Linked DNA regions of Oreochromis niloticus. The protein of the gene in region 1 interacts with the protein of each later gene in a pairwise test. Links are inferred from orthologs where the notes say so. Each region holds a gene or a part of one and is shown in the gene's direction. Other genes may lie near its edges.

Region 1 (7,575 bases):
AACAGACTTGGGTGTATTTTCCTCAGATGTCTCCTGTTCCGCCTGAGCACCTCACCCTCTGGTGTTTGCACAGCGTAGGAGCGTGGTTCCTCTCGCCGATGTGCTACAACAGCTGGCTCCCAACCGCGCCGTGTTTGCATGTGCACAGTATCGCCTGAGGTCAAAACAGGCAATGGTCTTGCATGCTGATCAAAGTGGTATTTCCGCTTTGACTGCAGTCCACGCACCTTATCTGGAATGTTCTGTGGGGTTGACTGTCTCAACACAGCACTGGCGCATGGCAGTGTGCTGCGGAGAACCCGTCCCATCAACATTTGTGCAGGTGACACACTCAGTCCTGTGACTGGAGTGTTCCTCAGAGATAACAGCACTAGATGTGGATCTGTTCCAGTTCGCGCCGCTTTTTTAAGTGCATGTTTAACAGTCTTTATGGCTCGCTCCGCCATTCCATTTGAAGAAGGAAAGCCGGGACTGGAGAAAGTTAGCTTTATCTCCCAGGATGCTGCAAACGATCTCATCTCGTAGCTGGCAAATGGAACATGATCGCTCACTATCTCTTTGGGAATTCCGTGTCTTGCGAAGACTGATTTCATCTTCTGAATCACAGAGTGTGCCGTTTTGTCAGGTAAGTTAAGAACTTCTGGGTATTTGGATAAATAATCAACTAACAAAAGATATGGCTGACCGTTCAGTTCGAAGATGTCCGCTCCGATTTTCATCCATGGCAGCTCTGGAATCTGATGTGGAATAAGCGGCTCAGCCTGGTTCTGTGGCTGCATTTGCTGGCATTGTTCACACTTCTCAAGCATAGTCTCTATGTCGTGCGACATGCCCGGCCAGTACAGTACTCTTCTTGCTCTGGCTTTTGTGCGCTGTACACCTTGGTGAGCGAAATGCAACTTCTCCAGGATCACTTGTCTGAAGCTTTGGGGTATTACAATCTTGTCCCCTATCATAATAATGTCATCGTGGATACTGATGTTGTTTCTCATAGGCCAGTAGCTGTGGAGTGTTCTGTCTAAACTCTTCCTTCTGGCTGGCCATCCGTTGAGGTGCCTTTCACGCACAGCTTGTAGCACGCTATCTGCTGCAACTGCCGTTCTCAGGCTGCTCAGTGTTTTTTCACTCAACGCTGCTGTGGCCTCCAGAGCATACACAACTCTTTCTTCATTTGTGTCTTCACTCACATTCTCGTTGTCACTAGTGGTTGTGGCTCGTGAAAGTGCATCGGCTATGAACATGTCTTTGCCGGGGGTGTATGTGACGGTGAGATCATATCTCTGCAATTGCAGCAGCATTCCTTGTAACCTTGCTGGTGCCTTGCATAGCGGCTTACGCATTATCGCCTCCAGGGGTTTATGATCAGACTGCACGGTTACTGGTCTTCCATAGACATACTGGTGGAATCGTTTAGCGGCAAACACAATGGCTAGCAGCTCCTTTTCTATTTGTGCATACCTTTTTTCTGTGTCTGTGAGTGCTCGTGACGCATAGCACACAGGTTGCCCTTCTTGTAATAGGCATGCGCCCAGCCCATCTTTTGAAGAATCGGCCTGCAATGTTAAGGGTTTCTTGTGGTCATAAAATCTCAACACTGGTGCTTGTGTGAGCGTCGCCTTGAGCATCTGTAGCGCTGCTGTGTGGTGCGGCTGCCAGTGCCACGCTGTGTCCTTTTTGAGTAGCTGTCTTAAAGGTGCTGTGAGTGATGCTTCATTTTGAATGTACTGTGCCAAAAACTTCGTCATTCCCAGCAGACGCTGAAGACTTTGTTTGTCTTCCGGAGTCGGCATGTCAACAATAGCTTTGATCTTTGAAGCATCTGCTTTCTGCCCAGCTGCTGTGATGATATGGCCCATGTATTTCACCGTGTCGACTTTGAACTGAATTTTGTCCTTGTTAAACTTCACGTTAGCTGTTCTTGCTTTCTCCATGACCTTCTGCAGGATCTCATCGTGTTCGTGCTCTGATGTAGCTGCAATGATCATATCATCTGCAATGATAAATACACCAGGAATGCTGCCGAAAGTCTCGCAATTCTTTTGTTGAAAAACCTCGCTGGCGGATTTGATCCCGAATGGGAGCCGGAGGAAGCGATACCGGCCCCAAGGTGTATTAAAGGTACACAGCTTCGATGACGGCTCGTCCAGCTTGATCTGCCAGTATCCGTCTTTTTCATCCAATATGGTGAAGATGGATTTTCCTGCTAGCTTGCTTCGAACGTCCTCGTGTGTGGGAATGGAGTAGTGCTGGCGTTTAACTGCTTGGTTCAGATCACAAGGGTCCAAACACACCCTTAGTGTTCCGTTCTTCTTCTGTGTGGCGACAAGACTGTTGACCCAATCTGTGGGCTCATTGACAGGCGTTATGACATCTCTGTTCTGTAAGTCCTGTAGCGTCTGCTTCAGCGGGTCCATTATGGAGAGGGGCACGTTCCTGCATGCATGAATCACAGGTGTTGCGTTTGCGTCAGTGTGTATGTGATGGACTCCAGGGAACTCACCCAAGCCTGTGAACACATCAGCATACATCTCCACAAGCTCTTCCTTGGTAGAAGGTGGTTTGGCTGGTTTCGGTACAGCGGATGGTAAGGCAAGGGCTTCAACTCGCTTCACCAGATGCAGCTCCTCACAAGCTCGCCCACCTAGGATCGGTTTATCTGCATGGTCCGACACAAGAAAATCAAACACAGCCCTGTGCTTCCTTGCTTCACACTCAAGAGACACCACACCATCTACATGTATGCGGGCCCCACCAAAAGCTATGAGTGCCGTCTTCGTGGGCTGTAACCGAGGCATCCCTGGTAACTTGTTGTAAACTGATCTGGGGAGCACATTTGCGTCCGCGCCTGTGTCTAGCTTGAAGGTGACTGATGCGTCCCCGATTGTTACACTTTCGTGCCACCTTCCAGTTTGGTGCTTGTCACTGCACACCATACCTATGTACAGTGAGTCCCCATCAGTCTCAATGTTATTAATAGTCTTTGTTTTCTTGTAATTTCTACTTTTCTCTGCGCCCACTCTGCATACTTTTGAAAAATGGTTATTTTTCCCACACCTGTGGCATGTTGCCCCATAAGCTGGACACTGTCGGGGCGCGTGTTTGTTGCCGCATTTGTAACAAGCCGTTTGCTTGTCGTTGCTCGGTTTGTTTTTACTGTGTCCTGATTTAATGTATCCTGGCGTTTTCCTTAATGCATGTACTGACGTGTCTTGGGGTGCAGTTGTTGACTGCATAGCCTGAATCTGTGACTTGGCCACCTCTGCTGATCTGCATATTTCTATCGTCTTGCGCAGTGTGAGGTCGTTGTCACGAAGTAGTCTCTCTTTTAGTCTGGTATCATTTATGCTGAACACCAACTTGTCCCTGATCATGTCATCTTCATTGACCCCAAACTCGCAACTTTTACTTTTCTGACGGAGTTCTGTGACATATCTGTCCACTGTTACACCTGCTGACATTGGGTATGACCAGAATGTATGGCGCTCAAAAACAACGTTCTTTTGTGGACTACAGTATTCCTTAAACGCTTTCAGAATGTCCTCCATAGCTAGCGCGTCTCCGGCCGGGGTTACAGTGAGTGTGTTATACACTTCAAGTGCCTCCTCGCCGATAGTGTGGAGAAGAATGGCTGTTTTAACCTTTTCATCTTTCTCCAGCGCACCCGTAGCAGTCATATACAGTCTGAATCTTTGTTCCCACCTGCGCCAGGTCTCAGATAAATTGCCGGTGAGCAGTAGCGGCGATGGTGGCTTGAATTGCTCCATGCCGTTAGCACCGTCCACCGTTAGCTAATCCACAGCTAGCTTACTCACGTCGCGGTCGGTCCCTGCTCACACGGTCCTGCCAACTTCTGACACCATGTTATGACTTTAAGCAGCGTTGCTCCAACTGCCAGTTTAACATGAGTTGCGACCAAGGCCAACTTTGATAAAGCACAGAGGACTGAGACGAGGCAATGGTGGAGGTCTGGTCTTTTTTACTACGAACACTCTTCAATCACATACAATACCACAGTGCCACCTGCGGGTGGGAGGTAGTAATAACTGCTGCTTATTACAATATACCACAGTGAATAAGCTACCCCGCTGCACAACAGTACGAGTAAAAGAAAACACAAACACGATTTATTTATTTATTTATTTATTTTTGCTTTATTTAGCCTGAAAATCCAAAAGAAAGTGAAGTTTTTCTTTTCTCCACACTACGTGGTCCTGGGAAATTTCCTCAGAGTGAGCGCTCATCCTGTTTCCGGCGCTTTGTGCTGCCCATATGTCAAAGTCTTTGTGCTTTTCAAGACAGAGAGGCGACAGAAGGGAAAAAAACAGCTGGATCCAACGACCATCCAGCTAGCGTTACCACTAGCAGCAACCAGCTCCTCAAGCCTGCTAACCCCCCTCGGCTGCCTGACTTCCAAAAGGTACCGTGTCTGAAAACTGTCCGTTAACCGAGAGCTAACGGCTCCTTATTCCGACCGCCTTATCTTTTACCTGAGCTTTCTCTTTGACCCAATTTTCCAACTGCCAGCCTGGCTAGCCTGTTAGCTTCCACATTAGCTTCTTTAGATGCTGATTAGCTAGCTAGCTTAGCTGATTAGCCTCCTGCTGCTTGAGCAGGTATCAGAGGATTAAACAAGCTGTCAGCAAGAATCATAGGAGCACACTCGCCTCCCATCCTTTGTTGTCATCTATAAAGCAGAAAGCATAGGGCTCTGTTGGCGTCTTTAAGTCTGCTTCATACTAACTGTCCTTTTAAATACATTTTACTTTTATCTGCTTTTAAAGTGTTACCATACTACATGTACTTTTTTCATTTAAAGTATGCAAGTAGTGCTTTCTGATTGGATTAATTGTTGTCTAGTGCGAAGTATTCCTTTTGGGTATAGAAGAAAATGAAGCAGGAATCACATAAACACTGATCTCAGATGTTAATTTGACTTTTGTCTCATTTTTGTCTTTGCAACATAAATTCTATAATGATACTCAACAAAACAAAAACCTCACGGTAGTGATGTTTCGCTAATTACATGCACATCTTGAGTTAATCTGTATTTCAAATGAATCTTTCTCGATATTTGCATATTTTAAAGCTTTTGTGTTTAATTGCAACCAGCTGATTTCATTGATCTGATTACGTATTTAATGCTGTTTCTGTACAACGTGAAATACAGCTGCTGAGCAGAAGTCTTGGTTTGTTACACTTAAAGTGTGAAGACAATCTTCTTTTCTGAGGTGTTGAAATCTGCAGATTTTTGATAGATTTACTCAGTTTTTACTGGAAAAAATAGCTGTTATCTATCAGACTGCTTCCAGCTAATATTAAGGCCAGAATAGGTAAAGTAACCACCTGTCAAATCAAACATACGAGGCTACTTGTCGTGGAAACCTCTTGTGAATAAGTGAGCACTTGAAAGTAGCATTTATTTCTCTGGTGCAAACACTGGTTGAGGAGCTGAATGGCTCCTGTAACCAGAAAGTCCCACAGCAGTCCCAGCGGAGCACTGGTTAAACACCAAAGTGTTCCTAGCTTGACGAAATGTGCGTTTTGAGGGTGAGCTGGTACGGAGAGATAACTCCCTTTACTGTAGGAGGTTTTCTGAGAGGCATCCTGGTCACATGTCCAAACCATTTCAACTGGCTCCTTCCACAGACTCTAGGTCAGACTCTAAATGGCTTGTTTAAGCAGCTTGTTTGAGTGAGAGAAGATGAACTGGATGCCCTGATAAAGATAAATAATGAACCATGAATGATGCCCAGTCCAAGAATAAAAATAGGGTGCTGATATTAGCTGTTCCTCCTTAATTGGGTAATCTATCATCTATTTTTTATTTTCTACTGCTCATCGTCTCCCCAGGTAGCATCCATTTAGTCAGCTGTGTCATGGGACTTATTGTTATATGCTGTGGCTATCATTGCACTTTCTTTTGTCAGTGTGGGTTTTCGACTGCATGGACTTACTTTGGATATTATGATTGTAATCCAGGTTTTGAATGTCGTTCTGTATGCTGTCATTTAAATTTAACTTGGTGAGCTCTGAAGAAACTCCGTGTCTCGATTCTGTCTGATTTACAGCTTTATCTTGCAACCTGTGTTTGGCAGGGCTCAGCTGACAGCGGCGCTTGAACCCAACAACCTCACGATGAGTTCAGGGTTTTAGAGGTGCTGTGTGCATTCCCCGCTCCCAGTGGTCGTTAGATCACTGCTTCCATTTCTATTTTTACACTAGTTCAACAAACAAGTCAGAACATGTAAATAAGGGAGACTTTGAGATGATGGAAGGTGGATTTTAGTTTCACTGATTTCCATGGGAAATGCGAAGTAGCATGCAGTAAATTTCTAATTACACTTTGAGGAAAGAATAATCTCCCATCCTTGTTTCTTGTCTTTCGTCCAAAACAACGCTTCATCTCTGATTATTTTTGTGTCTTGCTGCCTGGAAGGATTTGGACTCGTCAGCTGTTCACATAAACAGAGTGAGCAGACGTTGTCCTCCTTCCTTTTCTTTTCTTTAAAAGTTCTATGTTATTTTTGATGTCGGGTTTCGAAGCCTAAACTGTTGTTATCAAGGATATGCAGGCTCGACTCTTTCTCAAAGCTGCAATCAGAGGTTTTTTTATTTTGACCCGTTGACTCCCACGCAGTCTGAAAACAGCTCCAGTCTTACACGGACGCACCACAGTGTGTTGCTTTCTGAACATCTTGGACTTCCATGACTGGACGTTTGTTCTTCTCAAAACATAAAGAAATCTCTAAGCGTAGTCTTAATGTGTGGCCAAAGAAACAGACACATTTCTATTATTGCCTTGAAAATGACCATATGAATTTTAAATTACTTCTTGCTATATTTTTCTCTGAAAGCAATGTACAAGGAAAAAAATGTTAGTAATCAAAGATGAGAAAGTTCGGTGGTAGAGTAGGGGTTAAAGCTTCTTTAAGGCGAGGCATGGCACAGCGGCACACAGTAACTTATTATATATGTGAGAAAATTGACGATTTTTCAGTTTGGTTCTAAATGTAGATAGTTGTAAATGATCTCACATCAACAGGCACCATGATCCCGAAAGAAAGAGCCAAAGAAATGAACTGTTCCCTCAGAACATCTGGATCTTATTGTAGGTACACCACCTGATGACGTGAGAGGTCTCACAGTCTGACTCCACTGTAGCCATGGTGTTATTTTAGGTTCTTGTGATCCTCTCATGACTAATTCTTCCATCACTGATTAAGCTGCAGATTTCTTGCAAATAATGGGGATAACGGGCAATCAGTTTTTTTAATTTTCATTTTTTATTTCTAATTTGTGTGTGTAGATATTTTTTAACATCAGCACAAATTTAGTCTACAAAGAAATTTTGCCGCTTTTTTTGACAGCCACCTTTGTAACAATTTGGGAGTTATTGTAGCTGTTGTTTTGAAGCCTCTTTCTAAATGTGCATACATTTCATTGGTCTTGTGTGTATAAAATTCCACCTATAGCCAAATAAGACCGTTAAATAAACAAACACAAAAAATGTTGACTTAGTTTGAGAATGAGGTAAAGAAAAATAACTACCCGTCCCAGTTGCAAGTTATAAAGCAC
Region 2 (7,837 bases), on another chromosome or scaffold:
CTTAAAGTTTTTATCTTCCGGTGCGATCTTCCTCTTTGTTTTTTGTGTATACTTTATTAATCCCCTGTGGGTAAATTATGCATGTAACCCATTCACTCAGTGGTTAATCCTGGCTCTGATGTTCTGAGAGGCTTCCCCGACTCTCTGCAAACACTTTTTAAACCACTTTACAGAAAAAATGTGTTTTCTTACAGTTCCACTTTCTCCTGTGTTTAATCAGGTTTCTGCTTCGGGATGCACCTCATCCTTCCAGCGGTTTGAGCCGGTGTCACTCTCTGCCCTGAAGGGGATAATTGAGCATCTGAAAAATTCAAACTCTGTACATGACATCCTCCCATCTCGCATCATCAAGGAGGGTTTTAATGTAATTGGGCCTATCATCCTATCCTTATGAACTTATCATTGCTTTTGGGTGGTGTCCGACCACTTTTAAACATGCGGTAGTACAACCTGCTCTTAAAAAAAGTAGCCTTGTCCAAAATGACCCTGCAAACTATAGGCCGATTTCCAAACTCCCTTTCTTGGCTAAAATTCTAGAGAAAATAGTCCTTTTGCAACTACAGGCCCATCTAGATGCGAATATCATCACTGATAAATTCCAGTCTGGGTTCAAATCACATCATAGTACGGAAACGGCATTGTTGAGAGTTTTCAATGATCTCCTTTTAATCACTGATTCAGGGCGCTCAGCAGTTTTAGTTTTTTTGGATTTGTCCTCAGTGTTTGATTTAGTGGACCACAACATGCTTTTGATGAGGCTAGAGCACATGGTAGGCATTGAGGGTAATGCTCTTAGTTGGTTTAAATCGTACCTTTCTGAAAGGTCCTTCGCTGTTACGATGGGAAGTTACTCTTCCTCTGTTGCCCCCTTTTCCTGTGGTGTGCCCCAAGGGTCTGTGTTAGGCCCTATGTTGTCCTCTTTGTATTTGTTACCTCTAGGTCGCATCTTTGAAAAATATAAAATTTCCTGCCATTGTTACGCAGATGATATTCAAATTTACTTTCATCTGACTGAGGATCATCACTAAACTGTGTTTTTGATTGTATGAGAGAAGTTAATTGAGTTCAATTCCATTTTAGTCATACAGCACCAAATCACAACAACAGTCACCTCAAGGCGCTTTATATTGTACAGTAGATAGCACAATAATAAATACAGAGAAAAACCCAACAATCATATGACCCCCTATGAGCAAGCACTTTGGCGACAGTGGGAAGGAAAAACTCCCTTTTAACAGGAAGAAACCTCCGACAGAACCAGGCTCAGGGAGGGGCGGGGCCATCTGCTGTGATTGGTTGGGGTGAGAGAAGGAAGACAGGATAAAGACATGCTGTGGAAGAGAGACAGAGATTAATAACAGATATGATTCAGTGCAGAGAGGTCTATTAACACATAGTGAGTGAGAAAGGTGACTGAAAAGGGGTTAAGGATTGGTTATTGAGTAACTCACTCATTTTAAATGAAAAGAAAACTGAAATTGTTGTTTTCGACAGCCATATTCCTGGGGGCCAACTAACAGTTTCACTTGGGCTGTTTGCTACCTTTCTTTCTGACACTGTAAGCGACCTGGGTGTTCTCTTGGACAGTTCTTTTAAACTTGATAAACAAGTCTCCACTGTAGTTAAATCTAGGTTTTACCAATTACGCCAAATTGCCAAGGCCAAGCCTTACATGCCCTGCAAGGACCTTGAGAAACGTATCTATGCCTGTATCGCCTCGAGACTGGCCTCCAATCTACCCTTCTCCGCAGACTGCAGCTTGTTCAAAATGCAGCAGCACGCCTCTTAGCTGGAACAGGTTTTTATCACCCCTATCCTTGCTGACCTGCATTGGCTACTAGGGATGGGTATCGAACCCGGTTCTTGTTGAGAACCGGTTCCCACTGTTTCAATTCCTTGGAATTGTTTGCCATTTTTGCAAACGATTCCCTTATCGATTCCAGTCACCCCGAATGACGTCACCACGTTGCGGAGCATCATTTACCTGGCAGGGCGCCTAAGCAGCTCAAACGCTAAAAAGTTTGGTCATACTTTACAAGAACGGATGACAACAGGGCAACTTGCAATACTTGCAAAGTAGATATTTCATTTAAAGGAGGAAACACTACGAAGATGCAAAAGCATTTGCTCACAAAACACGCGATGACCTTAAATGAATGTCGTGGTTTTAATTCCGCTCCGGACTCGTGAATCTCAACCCAGCAGCAGCGGTAACGTTTGCACGTCCTCTCCCGTTAATGCGGCAGGTAAATAATCAGCTAACAGTGCATATTATGTTAGCGCGATCTGCCATATTACAAAACCTGCCATTACTGTGCATTTAGGTGACCATGATGAGAGAGACAGAGTCTGGCTGGCAGTTCTCGCTGCAGTCTACCGGTAGCGTCTCCTTTCAGGCCAGGATAGACGAATGTCACCGAGCAGTGACTAAGTTTGTGGTCAAAGGCTTGCACCCATTTGCCACAGCAGATGCCCCCGATTTCCGGTAAGTGAATGTGTTTAATTGTAGGCAGGGACATTACTGGATATTCTTGTGTAATTGCTACAGAATAATTTATGTTATACTTTGTTATTGCTACAGAAGAATATTTATTTTATTATTTTACATTTACAATTTTTTTTCCCGGGGACCCTGTGACACCCCATTGAAGAGCCGTAGGCTGTGGATCTCTTAAGATCTCACTGTTGGGTTTGTAAGGCCATGTTACTCCTAAATTTCTATCTTGTTCAAAGAGAAGATATAAAACAAAGTTCTAAGCTAATCGACCTTAGTGTTCTCCTTTTTAAAAAAGAATCGATAAAGAATCGAATCGTTAAACAGAATCGAAAATGGAATCAGAATCGTGAAAATCTTATCAATACCCATCCCTATTGGCTACCCATCAAATACCATATTGATTTTAAAATACTATTGCTTACCTATAATATTATAAATAACATTGCTCCCAGTTATCTTGTTGAACTTCTCATAGAGCACTGAGATCAACGGGCCAGCTGCTAGGGTTGAAGACCAGAGGTGAGCATACTTTTGCCATAGCTGCACCCAAACTCTGGAATAGTCCTCCTACTGCTATTCGTGCGTCTGAATCAGTTCAACCTTTTAAATCTCGGTTGAAAACCTTTTTATTCAAACTAGCCTTCCCTAGTTAGTGTTTGTATCCTTCAAATGTTCTTTTATGTATGTTTAATCATTCTATTGTATTTTATTGCTGAATAATCTCCTAGTCGAGCTGTGTTTGTATTTTCTTTTACTAATTAGTGCTCTCCCCCTGTTGGTGTATTTATTCCCTGTTAATGTTTCCTTTCTCTAAATTACGGTATTACTGTAAAGCACTTTGGTGTACCGCTGGTTTTAAATGTGCTATACAAATAAAGTTGTATTGTATTGAAGCAGTGGGCAGCCACCAACGCAGCGCCCAGGGAGCAGTGTGTATGGATGGTACCTTGCTCTGGGGTACCTCAGGGGAGCCATTTGGTGGATTTGAACCCCCGACCTTCCGATCATGGGGCGAATGCTCCACCTACTGAGCTATCCTCTCTTTGTGTTTGTGTTCAAGTTATGTCAATCATGTAAACAAAGAAAAGAAATAAGTGTTATACAAATAAAAAAATACATTTCAGTGTGGCTTCACGTGTTCTGATTCAGTTACTGTGGAAATAATAGCGTGTTTACTATGTATTAAGGTCAAAGGTGTAGGTTTGCTTATAATAACCAGTCCGCTGTAACTGTATGACAGGTGTTTATTAGCAGCCAACATAAACGTTCGTACACAGGTAACAGGAAGCACACATAGCCCAGTTAGAACCACAGCGACCTCTGCTGGAAACCTCCGTAACTGCAGCAAAGGCAGACATAACATCACTGTTGTCTACAAAAGGGAACATAGTTTATTATTGTTTGTGGTAGTATGATGTTGTTGTTGATAGGATGTAGAATACAAATTGAAAAAACAAACACAGAGATTGTGTTTGGAATAAATGTATAACCACAGATTTTGGATTTGGCTCTATTAATGTTCTTACTTATACTCTTTTAAATTGTTTTTTATTATTTATGATTGAATTTGATCCTGCTGGGTTGTCTTAACTTTAAAAATAGATCTTACCTTATTTTTAATTGTTTTTTTGCCTTTTTTTTAACATGTTGTATCACTCACTGTTATATTTTTTGGTTTTCTTTTTTATCATTTGCTTATTTATTTTATTTTCAATACATTTCAAACAATATTTTTTTTGCTGTACTTTAGTATTTACATTTTTAACACATTTCCCTTTGTGTCATTAAGGTAGCGTTTTTCGTTTTGACCCTCGTGGGCAACCGTAGGGCAGGATCGAAGATCGTCTATATTCGTGAAGACTCGTGTCTGCTGTGACGTGGCCTGGAGCGTCGGCCTGTGTTCGGCAGACGTCGTTGTTGCGATCAGCTGATCCTGGAGCATGCGCAGAGTGTCGTTTCCTTCCCAGAAAAGCCTGATTCACGTAAACAACAGCAGGCAGCTGCCGCCGCGGAGCTTTACCGGAGTTTTACCGGCTCTCAGACCGAGCAGCTGGTCGCCGTCGGGTCCTGTGACAGTGAGCTACCTGTCAGAGCAGCTGTGCTCACCTGGAGCTGTTAGCTGCTGATGTCAGCCCGGTGGCGTCATTTCTCTGATTAAGTGTCGTGTTTGAGGCTGTTGTGTCGTAAATCAGCCGGGAGCAGAGTTTGGAGCAGCTGAAGACACACCACAGGTTTGTGCTGAAGTAACCGAGACCTCTGAACTTTAGTTTGACCTCTGAACTTTAGTTTGACTTTATACAACGAGGCTGCTGTGTGGAGCCTACATTTCCCATCATGCAGCTGGAACTCTGTGTGACAGGAGTGAGTGATTTATGATGACTAACCTCAGCTTTAACTCAAAGTCAGGAAACAGATTATTACAGCTGCACTTCCTGTAGTGATCACCTGCTACCATCAGGGGGCGGAGCTTCACTGAAATGCTTCCAGATGTGAGCAGCTGCTGTCCTCTGAGCTGGTCCAGGCGTTTTAAAAAGGTCTTCGTGGACCTGAGATGCTGAAGCCACAGTTTTTATCTTGTATCCTCTCAGAGACGATGGCGGAGCAGAACTTGGAGGCCAAGCTGAAGAACCTCCTGAAGCAGGAGAAGATCCAGCTGTGGAACCCGCCGTACACCGAGCAGGACCAGCAGCCGGGGCGGCCGCACATGCAGGTGGGTGACCCGCCTGAGGAGGCGTGGCCATACACACCTTCCTACTGAGATCAAAGTATGAGGATATAAAGTTCAGTCAGGTCTATAAAGGTTACTTTGTGACGCTGTTTAAGAAATTAATCATTCACATGAATCCAATAAAATAATAAATCTGCTAAAACAAAGAAATAAAACCATCATTAAAGAGTTCAGTTTTTCCTGTCAGAGGAAACCTCAGTTAAACAACTTACTAAACCAGTGAAACTGATTATAGAGGAAACACATGAGGATACATGAGAGAACAGGACTGACTGATTCTGTTTCACTGAGATTCAAGCATCACTGAGGTTTTTGTCTCAGCATTACAAAGTTCAGCCCATGTACAGTGTCGTTGGATTCAGTTCTGAGCGCGCTCAGTGCTGTTCTTCTTCCATCAGGAGCTGGCGGGGCACTACGCCCCCCTGCTAGGCCTGCCCGTGTCGGAGGTAGGGGGCGCTCTGGAGTCGATCCGAGCTCAGGCGGTGAAGCGAGGCAAAGGAAACCAAACGTTCAGGGAGACGAGTGTGGCGACGCTGGAGCTGCTGCTGCCGCGAGACGCCAAGAAGGTAACGAAGGCGGCGAGGACAGAGGAAGCTACCCGAAGGTGTACCTCACGCCACACACTCATCACATGACACACACCGACCCACAATGCTTTGCTCTCCTGTGACGGAGGAGAATGACCTCAGTGTTTGCTTCCAGGATCCAAAGGTGAGGATGTACCTGGAGACCAGGCTGGACGTGTCGGCGCAGCAGGTGGTGGACAGGTACTCGATTACATCACAGGCCGAGTGTGTGTGTGTGTGTGTGTGTGTGTGTGTAGCTATGGGAACTGATAAGATTTTAGCCATTCAGATTCTATTATTGGTATCTCTAATTGATTCAGATGTTCATCGATTGTCATTGATGAGTCAGCTCATCGCTAAGCAACAATAAAAACGTCACTCTGATGCATATTAATTACATGCTGTGGGTCAAATGTTTGTGTGTTTGTTCTCTTCACTGTGGTCGACACATGTTACACACAACACGTGCACCATGTTACACGTTACTATGATTATGATGTTTTTCTCTGATTTTACTAAATATTCAATTCAGATGACGGTCAGCATAACGTCTGAGTCATCGACCCTCAGAGTTCAGATGTTACTGAACAAACCTCCCAATGAAAACCGTGTTTTTCTAAACTAACAAACTTAAAAAGCCAACAGAGCTTCCAAACATGTAATTGGTTGTAAAGAACTGAAAGTGATTATTTGTTGAATTTGCAGCATTAGGAGATCAAATTTACTGAAATCAAAACTATTTCAATCAAAAACATTAACAGGTCGAGTTCCATAATAACACAGGACCCCTTATTTGATTACATCCATGGACCTGGAGAGTTTTGTCAGTATGCTGTGACTCAGCCACAGGTCTGTGAGCAGTACGATGATCGCGCTTACGTTTACGTGAAAGGTTTTCATTATGTGTCCAAGGCATTCAACTGTTTCACACTTTTCAGCAGAGATCCTTTTTCTTTCCCGTGTTGCTTGATAATGGTGGTGTGCTTAATAATGTGGCGCATGCTTCTTTAGTAGTTGTAAAACTAATGATCACAGTCTGAGGCTGATGTCAGTGATCCAAACAGCTCTGAGACACATGAGTTTGATTGAAAAACAACATATTTAATCTTTGTGACACTTAAATACAATTTTCTTAATAATTTGGAACGTGGTGTAAAAGTAATGCAGTACTTAGTTACTCCTGGAAAAAGGTAACTAGTTATACTAGTCGTTACATTACTTTCATGTTACTCTGTAAAGCAGCTGCAGCTCACTGTCTCATAATCACTGTTTAAACATAAACCTGAGGCACCAACACATCCCTAATGAGGACACACACCTCTAACATCTCTCTTAACACAAAGCTGACCGCACAAATCAAAGATGAAGACACACAAAAAATGGTTGCCATGGTGATTCTACTGTAGAAACAGGAACAGGTAGAATCGTCAGTTTGTTACCTGTGGAGGTTCAGGCTCTGGCTGCTGGTCTGGAGTCTGCACACGCTCAGCTTTAACGCTTGGCTAGCTTAGCGTTAGCATGCTGTCAGTGCAGATGCTTGTAAAGAACTGAGGTTGTGTTAGCAGCACTGTGGTTGTTTCTGTCCTGTTATTTACATTTACATTCATCTTGTTCTTTTGTGCAATAAAAAATACATTTCGACACACATGGTCACTATTTCCTCCTCTGACATCCAAGCTGAAATCAGCTGATTGTAGTGCGAGGACAAGAAGTGGGATCAACAGGCGGACAAATGATTCCAAGGAGCTGGAATACTGGGAAGCAGTTATCTACAAGAACTGGTTCTACATTCAATACTCTAGTAAAGAGAGTGTGTGTGTGTGTGTGTGCGTGCAGGGTCGCTGAGGAGCACGGCCTCAGGAGCATCAAGCTGATCCTGAGTGGGAGGAGTCTGTCTGCAGGTCAGTGACCTCACAGCTACAGTAGTCATGTGATCTGTCAGAGCAGAGCGTGAGCGAGCGAGTGTGTGTGTGTGTGCAGAGCGGCGTCTGGACGAGCAGGGCGTGAAGAACCACAGCAAGGTGATGGTGCTGAGGGTGAGTGACG

The links. The genes of interacting proteins can lie anywhere in the genome.
Region 2: the proteins of sncaip (region 1) and nub1 interact in a two-hybrid assay, tested with the Homo sapiens proteins (2 studies listed by BioGRID). The link is inferred for Oreochromis niloticus from reciprocal best matches to the Homo sapiens genes SNCAIP and NUB1.

What each region holds. Positions count from the first base shown.
Region 1 is NC_031977.2:31,800,335-31,807,909, forward strand, and holds the start of sncaip (synphilin-1), read left to right. Parts: upstream 1-4,226; 5' UTR 4,227-4,417; intron 4,418-7,575. UniProt on the Homo sapiens protein: Isoform 2 inhibits the ubiquitin ligase activity of SIAH1 and inhibits proteasomal degradation of target proteins. Isoform 2 inhibits autoubiquitination and proteasomal degradation of SIAH1, and thereby increases cellular levels of SIAH.
Region 2 is NC_031974.2:3,696,693-3,704,529, reverse strand, and holds the start of nub1 (NEDD8 ultimate buster 1), read left to right. Parts: upstream 1-4,433; 5' UTR 4,434-4,728; intron 4,729-5,085; 5' UTR 5,086-5,090; coding exon 5,091-5,207; intron 5,208-5,623; coding exon 5,624-5,791; intron 5,792-5,927; coding exon 5,928-5,992; intron 5,993-7,627; coding exon 7,628-7,692; intron 7,693-7,771; coding exon 7,772-7,837. UniProt on the Homo sapiens protein: Specific down-regulator of the NEDD8 conjugation system. Recruits NEDD8, UBD, and their conjugates to the proteasome for degradation. Isoform 1 promotes the degradation of NEDD8 more efficiently than isoform 2.